Styela clava: one gene and its partner. Each later gene encodes a partner of the first gene's protein in a complex. Links are inferred from orthologs where the notes say so. Each region holds a gene or a part of one and is shown on either strand. Other genes may lie near its edges.

Region 1 (7,515 bases):
TAGACCGCGTTCAAAACGTACAGAATATAAGATGGAAGCAGAGGCGTGCCAAACTTTTCTGCTGCCTGGGGCGAGTTTCTGACTATGACGCCCCTTATCCCTAACTCAAATAATATTTTGGGGGTTAAACAGATTATATATGTTGTTATACATGAGAATAAATAAATTAAAGGTCAAGTAAGAGAAAAACGTTTGTTTTATTGAATAAATCATCAAACTGAGCAATAAACTCGCTCGTATAAAATGGAACTCATTAACAAAATGGAAGTCACTTATTTCTATGTCCAGTGGCTACTTTGCTGTCAACAAATGTCTGAACGACAGCCTCCTCCACCTCGCTTGTCAAGAATTTCTTTCGATGCTAATCAGATCTAAACTTGAAAGGCGCTAATTTGGCATTCAACTTTGAGAAAGATCGTTTGCAACTAGCTATTAATTTTTTAATTTCGAGTAATAAACAACATGCAATGCAAAAAGTTGGAAAAAGTAGACGTTTTCGCATCCAGATTTTCTGCCATGGTTGTAAACTATACCTCATTTTCGCGTTTTTGCATGTTATTTTTTAGTTTTTGGTAATGTTTCAGAAATTATTAAATAGTTTAAGTACTCGTGTAGCCACCTTTACAATGAGCACCAAAAATGTTGCAATTGTAAAAGATAGGAAGAATTTTTCTGGGGTCAACTCATCATCACCACAGTCAGCCAAACAATACTAAACACTAGGGATGGGACGACTCCGGGATTCGACGAGTCCGAGTAATAGGTCATGGACTCGAATCCTCCGAGTCCGTGACGTCACAACATAAAGAGAGAAAAACACGTTTTTGACCATGCTAAAGCATCGTGCGCTCACAAACATAGTCTAGAGATGTACCGATACCACTTTTGTCGCCGATACCGATCCGATACCAGCTAAAAACGCCGATACCGATACGTCGATACTACAAAAGGGCCGATATTACCGATACCGATACTATGTAATTATTACTTAATTAGGTGTGCTGAGTAGGGCAGACGGGTTAAAACAATAGTCTTTGAGCGTTGTTCATAGTACACATTATTTCAGATCGAAAAAAAAAAGATATATCACATAATATGAAATTAATGTTTAGTATCCATATGCTTTAACTGATTAAGATACATTGTACAGTAACGCTAGTAATCTCGGTGTTCAATTAGAAAACTCATAAGCCGGGATGTCCAATTTGAATTTAATGTTAATATCGCGACCTTCGAATATCGTTATTCGTGTTTAAACGAATATCGAATATCGCCCACACATTCTAGCGCCGCCGTTCTACGTTCAAATTAAAAGTATTTTATAAATGTTTTATTTAGTGGCTAATCGTAATCGTCAACGCCAACATGAAAGAATAACAAACAGCACCGACAAAAAGAAGGCCCACCTATAACCGTCGAGGATATTTTTTTACTTTACTAATTTTATAATATTTTACAATTTCTTTATTTTGAGACAGTCTAGGGCTAGGCGGTCATGTCAATATATCTATAAAGAAATTGTGTAGTTAAACAGAATTAAAATTAATACCTGTGTAGTGGGATAATTGTGTCGGAATTTAGTTTATCGATGTCGACGGACTAAATGACACTCGTACTTGACGACAAACAGTCAGAATTTATACCCGTGCCAAAAGTCCATGTGCCGTTAATAAGGACCCCAATTCCACTGTATGATTTAAAACTGGGCGCCTAGTTTTTGTTATGTGCTGTGTTGATATATTTCTTCATAAAAACTATGTAATATTAAAAATGTCAATATGAAAATTTGACAGCGAAAATAGCCAAATTAGTTGAGCTAGTTTGGCTGATAAATAGCTAAAACACGTGAATCCTATTCTCTCGCGGGGGTAGGGACATGTATGGCTCATAGCTCACGATCTCTCCAGACAAAAAATAAATTAAAAAGTAGTATTCCAACTTATCTTTTAAAACACTCTGGACCATATCAAAAAGGTGAATATATCGGAAATATCGGTCTTAATCTAACCGATACCGATACATGGCCGATACCAAAAAAATTACCGATATTGCCGATACCGATACATCGGTACATCTCTAAAACATACATCGTAGCCAATATTCCCTCTAATTTTTTGTATTATGTGTGCGCAGAAATTTTGGTGTGTGCGCACTTTTTTGGAAATGACTAATATTTGTGCAAAAACCAATGAAGAAATTTTGACGTTCTAACCGGGTAATAAGTGGGCCAACAACAAACTTTCTCAACCTGCCAACCGAGAACATTGTTACATTACATCGATTTACGTCTGTGCGCAGTAAATCTATGCGTGTGCGCGGCCCCTGAAAGCTGTGTGCGCGCGCACACTTTAGAGGGGACACTGATCGTAGCTCATATTTTTTGCCTAAAGGTTTCGTAAATAGCTGTTGAACCATTTTAGAACCACATTTTTCCTTTTTTTTTGCGGTCTTAATACAAACGTAAACGTGGGTCAATGTGCGCCTTGGCTGTGAACTGGATTTCCAGCCCACCACCTTGCGTCAATTCTGGGCGGCTATTCAGAAATTCTTACATGTCAATATGAAAAAATAAAAAGCTTTTGAGTTTTGACTACAATGCTTTCCCATAATTTCAGATATTTCTAGCCGTAAATTTACCATGTCACGTGCACAAATGGTAGAGAAATGCCACTCGTCGTCAATACAATGTGGTACATCTGCTTGCAATTTAGTAGTTCATGTAAACGTTCTAAGCTTCCATGCTTTTCATTGCTCCCTTTTTAGAGAAAGGATTGCATGTAATAAACTCGATTTAAAAGAGGTATTGATGAGATTCCCCATTGGGTTGATCCAGAGTATGTTTCAATTTTACGCGAATCACAAATATTGCGCTAACACATATTTTATTGTGTACCACATGTATACGAAAAAGGATAGATAGTTTGAAGGCGCCTGGCGCAACATCATTGTTATAATCGGTCAATAGTTTTAAACTTGTGTTATATTTTCTGGATATTTGTCGTCGTTTTTTATTAGAAGTGTTTATAATGCACACGGGCGATATTGATACAGATCTGACCTTGAATTTTACCTAGTTAATAAACAATGTTCTGCATTAGCAGTGTTCACAGTACGATTGCAGATGCAGTAAAATTCCGGACATTTGGGCATTTTTTTTATATTCTTTCAGGACGCAAAATTTAATCCTAAATTCCGGATGGTATGGCAACCCTAAGCTAGATTGCGGCGGGTACGTTGATGTACTCCACAGTTTTATTTAGCAATCGGTCGCAAACTGTTGGTCTAGTTTTTCCGGGTTTTAGTTTATTGATAAGAAGTCTTCTTCGAGATTAAAATAAGCGACGGTAAATCTCGCTTTCGTTTACGACGGGAATTTTATTTGCGGCGGAACGAGGGAGTGTTTTTGAAATTTATGCAAATTTCGGTGTTTTTTGGGTGGTAATAGAAGACATATTATCCCTTCCATCTACCAAAGTATTTTGAGTTAGATCACGAAATTGCTACAGCAATATTATGCTATTGTTTGCTAACCACGAAGTGGTAACAGTAAAGGATTTAGCGAATATTTCTATTTTTTTTATCACGGTTTGAAGTTTCAACTCCCAAGAAAAAAAAGCCTTTTTTCTATCCGGTTTGTGACTCAGACCACCACTTTTGAAAAAACTTTTTTTTTTGCTAATTGCAAGCTCTTTAAATAAGCTTTCCAACGAGCCGTCAGTGGGCAGCAGAGGATCATTAGTTTTTCGTTAGTCGATCGATTAGTTGTGGGGGTACAAATTCATAAAATCGGCGTAGCAAATACGATTATTTAATAAAAAATAAAAATCGCATAGAAAGGGTTAAGGTATGTAAGATTCGTCGAGGCAAAATTACAAATAAACGCGTAAATTAATAAAAACAGAATTGATTATAGACTCAGTAAAAATGACGTGGACTCGAAATCGGATCCGAGTCAAAAAAATGCCTGGATTTAACTCGAATCCGAGTCCGGATCCGAATCCTGGCCTATCCCTACTAAACACATAATGTCAGCTTTCAACGCAAACTCTACAGCTTGGTTCTGCTGCCCCCTACAACGTGCTGCCCGGAGCGGTTGCCCCCTTCGCCCCCCTCTAAGCACGCCATTGGATAGAAGGTTTTTCAATTAGAATTGGTACCATTGAGGGTATATACACCTCAATGATTGGTACATGTTCACCAACGACTAACGACAACGACGTGTTCACTCACCTAAAATATTTGAATTATTAATGCGATAAATTACATACTGATAGTAAACAAAAAATAAATAAAAATTAGTTACCGATATATTTAGTTTTTGTTTCATGATTTGTTTATTTTATTGTATATGATAATATTCATTCATGCAATTCATTATTTTTGTGACCAGTAAATTGTGACTTTTCAATGTACAATATGCGAATTTTGGGATTTAGGGTATTACTCTACTGTTGATTTCAATCCTTTATCTGGCAACCATAAATAAGTGACTTCAGTGGATCTCAAAGTGACATTCGCTTGCTTCCGGGCGTGGTTACGTTGTCTTCTACACGCGCTCTTGAAATTACTTTGTTGGTCATACCTTTATAGAGTTTGCTTAAATATTGCTTGACGTGGCTCTAACAATGAAGCGACAGGGTGAAAAAGACAGTCCTTCCAGAAATAAACGCTCGAAAGTACGAAATGGTAGTCCAACCCGCCGAACTTACAGCCGGCACAGCAGGTTCGAATATTATTGCTGAATTATGGCTTTCAGCTTCTTTTTTGTTATCATTAATGTTTTCCATATCAAGCGTCTGAGCGTTGCTATTGATGCAAACCAGAATGTTCAGATGTTGGTTCTGTAGAATATTGTATACCGGTACATTACCACACTGCTTGGTCAGTTGGTACCGGTACGGTACCGTACCGGTATCAGTCTTTTGACTGATTGATTATTGTCCCCAGGCTGCCAAGACTGCAGGGTAAATACTGAAATGAGCGAGATAGATGTGAAAATCATATCCTAATTGTCTGGGTGAAGTTTAGGCATCGCTGACTTCAGGTTTCATATTACGGTACTTGAATAAATCTTGTTTTTATTGGCCCATTCCTTATCTATTTCATTATTTGCTTGTCATTAACTGTAATCATATAAATATAATAAATATTTCGGTTAGATGCTATTCCTAATTGGTCCTTTGGCCTCTCGCATTTGGGTACGTTTTTGAATATTTTTTTCGGAATCTAATTGCAGAATTGTAGTCTAAATATTGAATCTGATATTTTTTTCTAAAATCCTGAAATCTCTTGCGGCAATACGGTACAAAAGTCAAATATTTCCAGAATATTATAAAGTGGTTCAAAATGTATTTCAAGAATTTGCAGAATTCCATGATAATGTTGTTTTTGGCAGACTGAATTTGCCCAAAATGACTAAATTGTTTGAACCAAATAGATATTGTGCTGTTTTGATGTGATGAATTAATCACGCTTGACTAATTTTCATAATTTTAACCAGACAAGAATTAGGTAGTATACAATATTATATTTGGCTCATAATATCCAAGGAGTCAAAACAAAAATCTAAGTTTGGTCTTCCTGGTTTTTCAAAATGTATTATTTAGTATTCTCTAAAATTTATTGAAAATTACTCAACAAGGTTGTCCTTTGGGGCTGAAATTGAAATATATATGGTAGTTCAATGACTAAGAAACATCATTCGCAGTCATAGATATGATATGAAAGCAACCAACTTACAAATATAGAAAATTGAGGAATTTGACTGAATCGATTTGGTATTGGTAGGAATGGTGTAATTTTATATTTAGGTTTTCAATTTTTATATATCAAAACTAGATAGGCTACATGGCCAACATACCCCCCAATATGAGAAAATCAATAGTTGAAGCAGATACGATTTTTAAGCTTTTTAAAAGTAATTCATTATCCAGAACGGTATTGTTGGTATCATTTTATCTATACGTCACCACGAATAAAGATTTTTTATTACAGTAAAAATTTCGAATTTTTGGGATTAATGAATTCTTTTACACTTATTTATTCAATAATATAACAAAACATGCTCATATAGCATCATGTCTATTGATGCTTCTAAGTCCTATAGCGATCACAATTACAAACAATATACCCATTATATGTTATGATCGATACAGCTTTTGCTTTTTCTAGATTAATGAATTTGTTCATCACATATAAAGTGATGCATATTCAAATGACAGAACTTGTTTTTCTTGTATACGTCCCTTTGGAGATATTTATATTTAGCAAAAAGTGAATGTTGTGTAAGAAGATTTGTTTTGCTACCAAAGAGTCATCAGCAATGTGTATACTTCTATTGTGTATTCTGCACTACGCTGAAAGTACTCTACACTTCATACTCAAAGCGCATAAGTGATATATTTACTGACCAATCAAAGTCACTGGGAATTATCTCTGCTTAAATTTGTTTAATATGCTCAACGAGCTGGAATATTGAATAAAAAAGGTTTATATCTGTTTACTGTGAGCAGTTGTTATGCTGCACAGTGCTCTTTTATCTGGAAAAAAGGTTTATGAACACCTTAATTCTAAGCAAATGGAGTATTGAAATTATACTTCCCTGTTTTGCTGTGGAAACGGGTTTTCTGCAGTGTGTGCGCTTATGATTGAGATAAAGGTTTATGAACACCTTACTATGCAATATGATAAATGTGAAAGTTTGAAAAATGTATTCACTGGTAACAAATTATTGCACCTTAGTATGCAATATGATAACTGTGGAAGTTTGAAAAATGTATTCGTTGGTAACAAATTTGAGACGATGTAAAAATGCATAAACACCTAATAAAAACCATTACCTAGCTCGTAACACTGAGATATTGAGAAAGGTGTCTTTCTGTGAAGTTACTGGCTGAATAATAGGTTAGGTTTATGAAACATTGTATCTTATCTCTTATAGCCCGCATCACAGAGATGATCGGAATGTTGGGAGGAGAAATTCGGCTTATGGGAAGAGCGAAGATTCATATTCACCTTCGCAGAGATTTACACCACCACCTCATCGTGATGATAGAAGACGAGAAGGAAGAGAACCGAGTCGAGGAAGTTACAAAGTCTTGTTGGTGAAGAATTTCAGCTCACAGATATCTGATGTCGACATAGAAGAAAGTCTATATTACGAATACAAAAAATTTGGAGATGTTTCTGTCAAGGTTTCTACAGACAACAGAGGAGATCGTGTGGCTTATGCAACATTCAGATCATCTGGTAGTGCAAATGATGCAAAGAATGCTAAAGGACATTTGGTGATGTATGACAGACGACTTACTGTTGAAGCGGTGTATGAGAGACGAGAAAAAAAGACAAGGACTCTTTCACCATTGCCGGTTCCTGACACTAGAGAACGTGAACCAAACTATCGCAAAAGATCACCCTCTTTTCAGTATGATGCAGCACCATCACCTAGAAGGCGATCTCTGTCTCCGGCTTCTGAAGGAAAAAGTTACAGTGTCCACAACAGTCCTACCAATACAG
Region 2 (7,754 bases), on another chromosome or scaffold:
TCACAGTCAATCTCTTTATATTGCTGCACAGTTTTTTGACTGAAATCATCACGATTCTTACTGAATGAAGTCTAAATTTGAGTAATGAGTGAGTAGACTTTAGCATCTTAATTTTAATAATATGACAATACCTGTTTAGGAACAGGAACCTTGTTGTAATATCTGATTGAATCTTTTCCGAGAAAGTCAAATTCAATCACATATTCTTGCATGTCAAGCATTTTATGGGTTTTGATGTGTTCGCATCGGAGTGAGCAACAACCGACAGTATCCGCACCTTCGCCTTCTTCCTTTTCATTACCTGCTCTCAACGCCAACTAAATGAAGGATAATATATCAGAATCAAAATTATTGCATAAAAACTCCAAAATTTTAATTGTCCACACACAAACCTTGTCGATGAAAAATAGAGCCACAGCACGTTGTCTTATTGCCATTTCTTGTGATTTCATGTCTCTCCAATAGTCTTGTCGGATTTTATCGACGCGATCTTTAAGTTTTCTGGCAGTCTCGTATTTTTGCCAATCTTTTTCACCCTATAAAAATAACAATCCCTTTACTACACAAAGCTGAATACAACCAAAACAATAGGAAACATTCTTATCAGTAAACAACACTTAGAATAGAACAACTTATAATCACAAAGACAAACAAAATCACAAAGTGAAAATTTGCATTATAATCAAATATGCATACTCTCAATTCCACAGAAAAACCTATTATATTTTCTTTAAAGACTTTAATGCAAAAAAATCACCTTGATTCTTGAATTAGCGTTTAGCATGATGTATTTATTCTGTCCTTGTATGTTTTCAGTCCATGATACTAACCATGTCACAGTGTTGTCATGCCTGACCTCCTTCCACTTCTGTCCAGGAGGAGGTGATGGAACTTTGGAACCTCTGCATACAAGAGAACAACTTGAATTATAAAAAGTTTCATGAAATTTATTTTTTATATTAAAACACAGATTAACAGCTGAATATATTTCACTTGATCGTTCTAACAACCAAAATATTTCTATCATTTACATGATCCTTGAATTCCAAAATTTGCTTGTAAATGGGACTAAACAAACTTACTTGCTGCAATTTATGATGATATCTTTGGCTTGCAATCTTTTTTTAATTTTACCCATTTTGGGATGGTCCCCGCGTCCTCTAAACAAACTAGGAGGTTCTAATCGGAAATTTCCAATCTTTTCTTTATGATTGTCCCACATGCAAAATCCATATTCCTCTTGAATCAAATCTTTTTCTTCTTTTTCTTTCTGTGATGAAATAAAGAGAATTGATCATTAAAAGCATTCAATATAGTGATTATATTATGGTACTGCAGAAGTATGCATACCAAGATGTCGCACAACCTGAATCCTAGCCGGTAAACACATACTATGTTCAGGTATTGCGCCATCTTGGCGCGCATACTCCTGGAGGTCCGATTATATAAACAAAATTAGACAACTAACCTGCTTTTCTTGCTTTGACCTCGCTTTTCTTTCTTCCGACTTCATTTTAAAATATTCATTTGTGGCCCGAAAATCACATTTACCTAGATCTGTTATAATCTCCTTTTCCTTGCTGGTCATAACCTTGAAAAAAATAAAATGCAATTGTCAATCTCCATTATCTAATTCACCAAAAGTCATCTGTCAATCTCCATTATCTAATTCACCAAAAGTCATCAATTCAATAATACATAGTCAGGTGTAAATTACCCAAACAAGAGAGAATTATCAAAGTAAAGTTGACTATCTCAAATTCACTAAATTATAAAACTTTGAAAAGCTGATAGAAGCATGAATTCCTAATCTAAATTTGATCTATCCATCTATCTTAAAAGTATTCAATACAAACCTTGCGCCAGTCATGAAAAAAATTTTTATTGAAGATTTCTTTCGAAGTATAATCGTGGTCCAACATTTTAGCATAGAACGTCATTACCTCTTCTGTTTCTGGTTCGAGATGCATCACTTTCCCTACAAAAGCATTGATGAAACATCAAGTATTGCTTATTGTATTGGCACAAACTGAGGTTAAAAATAAAATATATGTGATAATGGCTATGATTTGCTGCAGAGTTGTTGCTTCCAAACTTTCTTACCGCCATATTTGAAAGGAACAGAACTTGGCAGAGGTTCATATTCAGGGGCAAACATTGGTCCTTTGTGTTCAAGAGTTTTCCATTTAATTCCATCATCAGTATCCTTCTTTTCTTCCCACCACTTCCACTTTGAAGCTGCTTCCTCCTCTTCTTTCATTTTCTTTGTTTTCTTGAAGAAATTAACAGAATTTAAATATTGTACCAATCCTTGACATTACCTTTTTTATACACATGTATGCCATAATGCATTTCCCCCAATATGAGAGAGCCATAGAAAAATGAACCTAACATTCTGGACCATATAAAGACGTTGCTTTTAGTCTACAATTGAACACTCACCTTTTTTGTCGGACTAGACAATGTAGAGGAAGGTTCGGCCTTCGTTTTAACTTTTTTCTAAAATAGAAAATTCATTATGACATAACATTTATTTTAAAATATATCAATAATCAATATCAAATCAATACTAAACCAAATACTTCTCATCAATTCTTCCAACGTTGTACAATGTTACAATACTGAAGGAGCCGGGCAATAAAATAAACTGAGATTTCGGTAATGTTAAGCGTAAAACAGACTAAGGCTATATCGAATGACCATTTCCTGACTTACAATATTTGGCTTCACATCATTTTCTTCAGCTTTTCGTTTCTTGGCATGTTTTTCCTTTTTCAACTTCTTCTTCATTCTATAATTGTTGACATGAAAATTATATTTGATGTATCTGGACATATATCATTCTGGTTAATGAATTTTCAACACATACCTCCTGATTTCTTCATTATCTCCATGATTAGTAACCCCTGAATTCTGATGAGGCTAAAAATGAATTCCAAAGTTGTTACGGTATGATATAAATAAATTGCAATTTAATACAAAAATTGGAAAAATAAAATGCCAAATACAATTTAGTGTTTTCCAAATAAAATTTTGGTTGCCCGCCCCTATTACTAACCTCTCCAGAATCCATTCTTTCTGTTTTAACTTGCATAACACCTTGACTGAAAAGAAAACAAAATCTGAGTTAAATAATTGCAAGTCAAGATATGATTGAGGGCAGGGTAGGAAAGTGCCAACCCCTTTATTGGCAAATATCAAAACCAAATTCAACTCTATGAAAAAAGAAAAGTATAAACAGGGAAGAAAACACTAAAAATTTATATGACGATCATGGACCAAGATAAGATTACTTTCACGAGATAGAATTGATTGCAGATAATTCAACTAATAATGCAATGAGTGATATAATTTACTGGATTCAATTAATACAAAGCATCAGCAAGAAACTCAATTTAAAAGATCTTACTCTCCAGCATGATTGGCAGTATGGTGTTCTGGTCGGTGCTCCCTTTTAATTCTTATTCTTTTCCCATCAGGACCAATTTTTGGTTTTCCATTTGAATCAAGTACATATTTGTGCTTACGATCTTTATCCTGAACAAAATAAATGACTATTATTAATAAGGTGCATGGACAACTTGTCTAGATTATTTCTTAATACAATTATCTAATAAGGCATGCAGTGATATATCACAGCCATAAAATATTCCAATTGATTTGGATTTCATTTGATTTCGCTGCATATTTTATTTATTTTGGGTTTACTCATTTTATAGAATATTGAAGTAGGTATTCATGAATTGAAAGATATCATTAAATCTGAGCTTGTCACTTCAAATCAATTTCATATATTTCAAAACTCTTCTATTACATACCCTACCTTAAATATCTTCCAGTCCCATTAAAGAATTATATTAATTATTAAAAACAAACAAAATTTAGAGAACAATATATCAAAAATAAATTCAACCTTGTGATGCTTATGCTTGTGAGGCGAATGTAATTTCTGTGGTGATGAACCATTCAGTGTTGTTGAGGAGTGTGCGAGTTCCATGGAAAGCAAACTAAAAAGGATTTTAAATTTTATAATTGAAAGATCATTCAGTCATTGCTAATGCAGTCATAAACCCATTAAAAAGTAACAAAACATTTAAAAATATAGAAATAACATATGCTATTTCACAGCCTTGCTAATAAAGTACGGGTACTGACAGTAGGGCTATTTTCGAATAACTTACCTAATATTAACAGTGAATAGTAGACGATCAGCGTCTGTCTTGTCTGTAGAATCAATAGAAAATGACTTCGCAAAGTTTTTTTCTTGGTCGTTGCCCTTGATTCAAAAACTGAATGACGACTCCAATGAGTAATGAAACCAAATTCGTAGTTATACACTTCAAGGCAGTGGAGTCGTAACCAACAAAGCAGACAAACGAAGAACCACACAAGGCAAACCAGAAGACAGTAATGGCGTTCAAAAAAAAGAACAAGTCCGACAATTTCCGTCTGCGCATGCGCACAGACTTAGCTTCTTTACCTTTTTCTTTGCCTGTGTTACGCAAACGGGTGTCGCGAGAAAAAAGTTAGAGTCTTTTGTCTGAGTTTAAACCTATGTTTTCGTTCAGATGTGCGCTGAGTTGGCGTGAGTGCGCTTGTAGTTTTATGAACGCGATTTGTCGATTCACGCAGTGAACACGAATCACCGTACTAACATTCTGAGATAAATTTCAATGTTGCTGCGTGTGGTCATATGTACATGCAGGGAAATCAAAGTCATTTCACGTTGCAACCAAACCGCATTGTTTCATCGCCAATTTACATATGCAATAAACCCAAACACATTCGATTTTTTCTGTTACGAACCTTCCTTTTTACGCATTGACGACATTTAACCACTTATGCATTTCACAGTTAGTTAGAATTATTAAAATCCCATAGATTTTCCCCACTTATACCATGGAATATCAGACCTCAAGTACAGAGTGCTGTCACCACAATTCCCAGTAATATTATGAAGAATATAAAGCATATATTCAAAGATGTCCATACACAATAATTTCATATGTTTTGAACTTGCTTGCTAGTGGTGCAATTGTCCTATACACTGCCTCAAACTATATCTTTTGAATTATTTAGTTGTTCTTATCCACTAGCATAAACCTTCTGGCTATTTTAATAACATTGTGGATCTTCTCTCTCATCAAGAACAATGTCTTCTGATACTTGGACAAATTTACAAAAGCTGAAAATGAAACAGGAAAGTTTAAGGGAAAGAATACAAAGAAGAAGACAGGGCCATAAAGGTGTGTTTTCCTTCCAAGACTTGATGGATATTTTTGAGTGATTACTATTTTCATGAATTTTACACATTTTGTTTGTCTGTTTTTATAGAAATTTTGGCACAGACTGCAGATTCTACTGCAGCATCGACAGTAAGCAATTCATCAGATGTGGCAGATACAGAGGAAAATGTTGACGTTATTGACCCAGGAATTGAGAAAAAATTTCAGCAATATCTATGTCACCATTCACTCACTTTCCCAATGCATTCTCTCAATATAATGTCTGGATTCAATAAGGTGTGAACATGATACTTTATTTGCCTCTATATATTTCTAAAAGTCTCAGTATTTGAAGCGCTAGAGAATGCCATAAGTTTTTAAACTTTTATACATACAAAGGTACAGAGGTATGGTATTTTAGAGAAACGTGCAGCAAAGGTGAAAATTCGAAAAAGTTGTGTATTTGAATACTATATAATGTTAATATTAAATCCATATTCCCATGACTTTCTTCTAGCAAGGTTGTTTCACTTTCGATTTATTTATGTATATCGATACAATTTATTTTTATTTTCAGATTCTCCAAAGCGTCCCAAAGACCACATCCTTAACTTTGCCTCAAGTTGAACTTCTCTTGAACAAGCAAGAAGCGCAGCGATTTATTGAAATTGAATACTCTCAATCAAGTGTAGATAAGTCAAACGAAACTGATTCAAAAATAACCGTTTTGTCTGTGAGCCATGCCAAACTTGCTGCAGTAGCTGGAGAAATGAAAGAACCAATTTATACAGAAGAAGATATTCGATCAAACATGTCTGCCTCTGAGAAACAAACTAGTGAACGAGAAAAAAATCAAGACAGTTCCCTGGTAAAGCAAAAACAGGCTGTGAAGCGCCACTCGTCTGATTCAAATCACAACCGAAAGCACAGAAGTGATACGAGACGGCCAGAAAAATCCTCAAAAACAAATGAGTCTGGAAAAAATAATGAACAGAAAGACTTGGATGATATAGAAGAATTGCTGTCAACTAAATCAGCGAAAGAACAGGACACAAAACGAATCGCAGAGGAAATTCAAGAACTACTTGGCACTGCCTCCACTAAGGAATTATCGTTAGCGGAAAAATTCCGAACTCTTGGTGGTTCACAGGTGCATATCGAGTTATTGAACTGTTATTATTTTGATTGGTTTGGCTTTTGACTCCTAAAACGTAGGTGGGAGGGTTAATCCAATGGCTCTAGTGAAATCTTATATTTCAATACTATACTGATTTATAATTGTTTTAATCCTGCAAATGCTTAGTCAGCCAATGGGGCGAAATCTAATATACCGCATTGCTAAACAAAGTCACATTTTCAAATACTGTTTCACCCGTAGAATCAAGCTGGAATTCTTTGTGGCAGGTTTCTAGTAAAAACTAGCAGTTTGCTGTGATATGTACTGAATTTTTACATACATATACCAAAGTCTTCCGTAAATTTCAAATTCTATACTCTTTTTACTACTGAGGCACATGTGATTAGATTAAAAAAAAATTCTGCATACAGGTTAAAGAATTCTGTCCTCATGGTACACGGTTTGAATGTATGCGGCAACGGAAATCCAATTATTCATGCAGTAAATTGCACTTCAAGAAGTTGATAAAGCCTCACACAGGTGCTTACAGTAATTATATAATGACAGAGATAATTTTGCGTGATAGTGGTTATAACAAAAATGATGGCGATTGAGAAATCTATTTCCCATACAAATTTTAAGATTATTTTTCCATTCAGATGAATCACTGGGAGACTGCTCTTTCCTCAACACTTGTTTTCATATGGATACATGCAAATATGTTCATTATACTATTGATTACAAGGGGACAGAACTTGACCCAAGGTATCAAAAAAGAGGAAAGAAAAGAACCGAGTCAAATGAAGATAATAAACTATTGCCAAAACTTGCATCCGATGAAGATTATTTGCAAAGGAAAATGCTTCCTCCACAGGTTGGTTTCGTCTCGAGCAAACTTAATCGTACATGACAGTTATATTAATCCTGTTTGTGATCAAAATTTATTTTATGAAGTTTACATAGACAATATAACAGAAAGTGGCATTTGTCCTCCCAAGTCTTTTTTGTTCATTTTAGTGGGTAACATGTGACATCAGATATCTTGATATGTCAGTGCTTGGAAAATTTTCTGTAATAATGGCTGATCCGCCATGGGATATTCACATGGAGTTACCATATGGTACAATGCAAGATGATGAAATGAGAGCATTAAGAATACAAGATCTATCTGATGATGGCCTATTCTTTTTATGGGTAACAGGAAGGTGAGTGTATCTATGAATAATTGTAAATTTAAAGCCCTTGTCTTTAATCATGTTACAAAAAATGCCAAGAATATTCATTTTATTGCATTTCATAAGGCAATCAGCTCTTTAAAGTGTTTCGTTGTTTGCTCATAGAGGTAAGGGTGCAACCATGCTATTACTCTAAGTCCTGACCAAATGATTCAATATACCTTCATATTTATGCTA

Evidence for each region. The genes of interacting proteins can lie anywhere in the genome.
Region 2: putative RNA-binding protein 15B (region 1) and N(6)-adenosine-methyltransferase catalytic subunit METTL3-like share a complex: the UniProt entries of both Drosophila melanogaster proteins name them as parts of the WMM complex. The link is inferred for Styela clava from reciprocal best matches to the Drosophila melanogaster genes nito and Mettl3.

The regions. Positions count from the first base shown.
Region 1 is NC_135258.1:21,867,002-21,874,516, forward strand, and holds the start of putative RNA-binding protein 15B, read left to right. Parts: upstream 1-4,490; 5' UTR 4,491-4,625; coding exon 4,626-4,723; intron 4,724-6,940; coding exon 6,941-7,515. UniProt on the Drosophila melanogaster protein: RNA-binding protein that acts as an associated component of the WMM complex, a complex that mediates N6-methyladenosine (m6A) methylation of mRNAs. M6a modification plays a role in the efficiency of mRNA splicing and is required for sex determination.
Region 2 is NC_135263.1:8,553,738-8,561,491, forward strand, and holds the start of N(6)-adenosine-methyltransferase catalytic subunit METTL3-like, read left to right. Parts: upstream 1-4,742; 5' UTR 4,743-5,152; coding exon 5,153-5,246; intron 5,247-5,334; coding exon 5,335-5,522; intron 5,523-5,802; coding exon 5,803-6,375; intron 6,376-6,773; coding exon 6,774-6,882; intron 6,883-7,001; coding exon 7,002-7,216; intron 7,217-7,359; coding exon 7,360-7,547; intron 7,548-7,754. Other genes in the region: DNA topoisomerase I, mitochondrial-like, read right to left, coding at 132-317, 393-536, 758-902, 1,083-1,270, 1,469-1,591, 1,857-1,978, 2,104-2,272, 2,443-2,499 and 5 more. UniProt on the Drosophila melanogaster protein: Catalytic component of the WMM complex, a complex that mediates N6-methyladenosine (m6A) methylation of mRNAs, a modification that plays a role in the efficiency of mRNA splicing and is required for sex determination.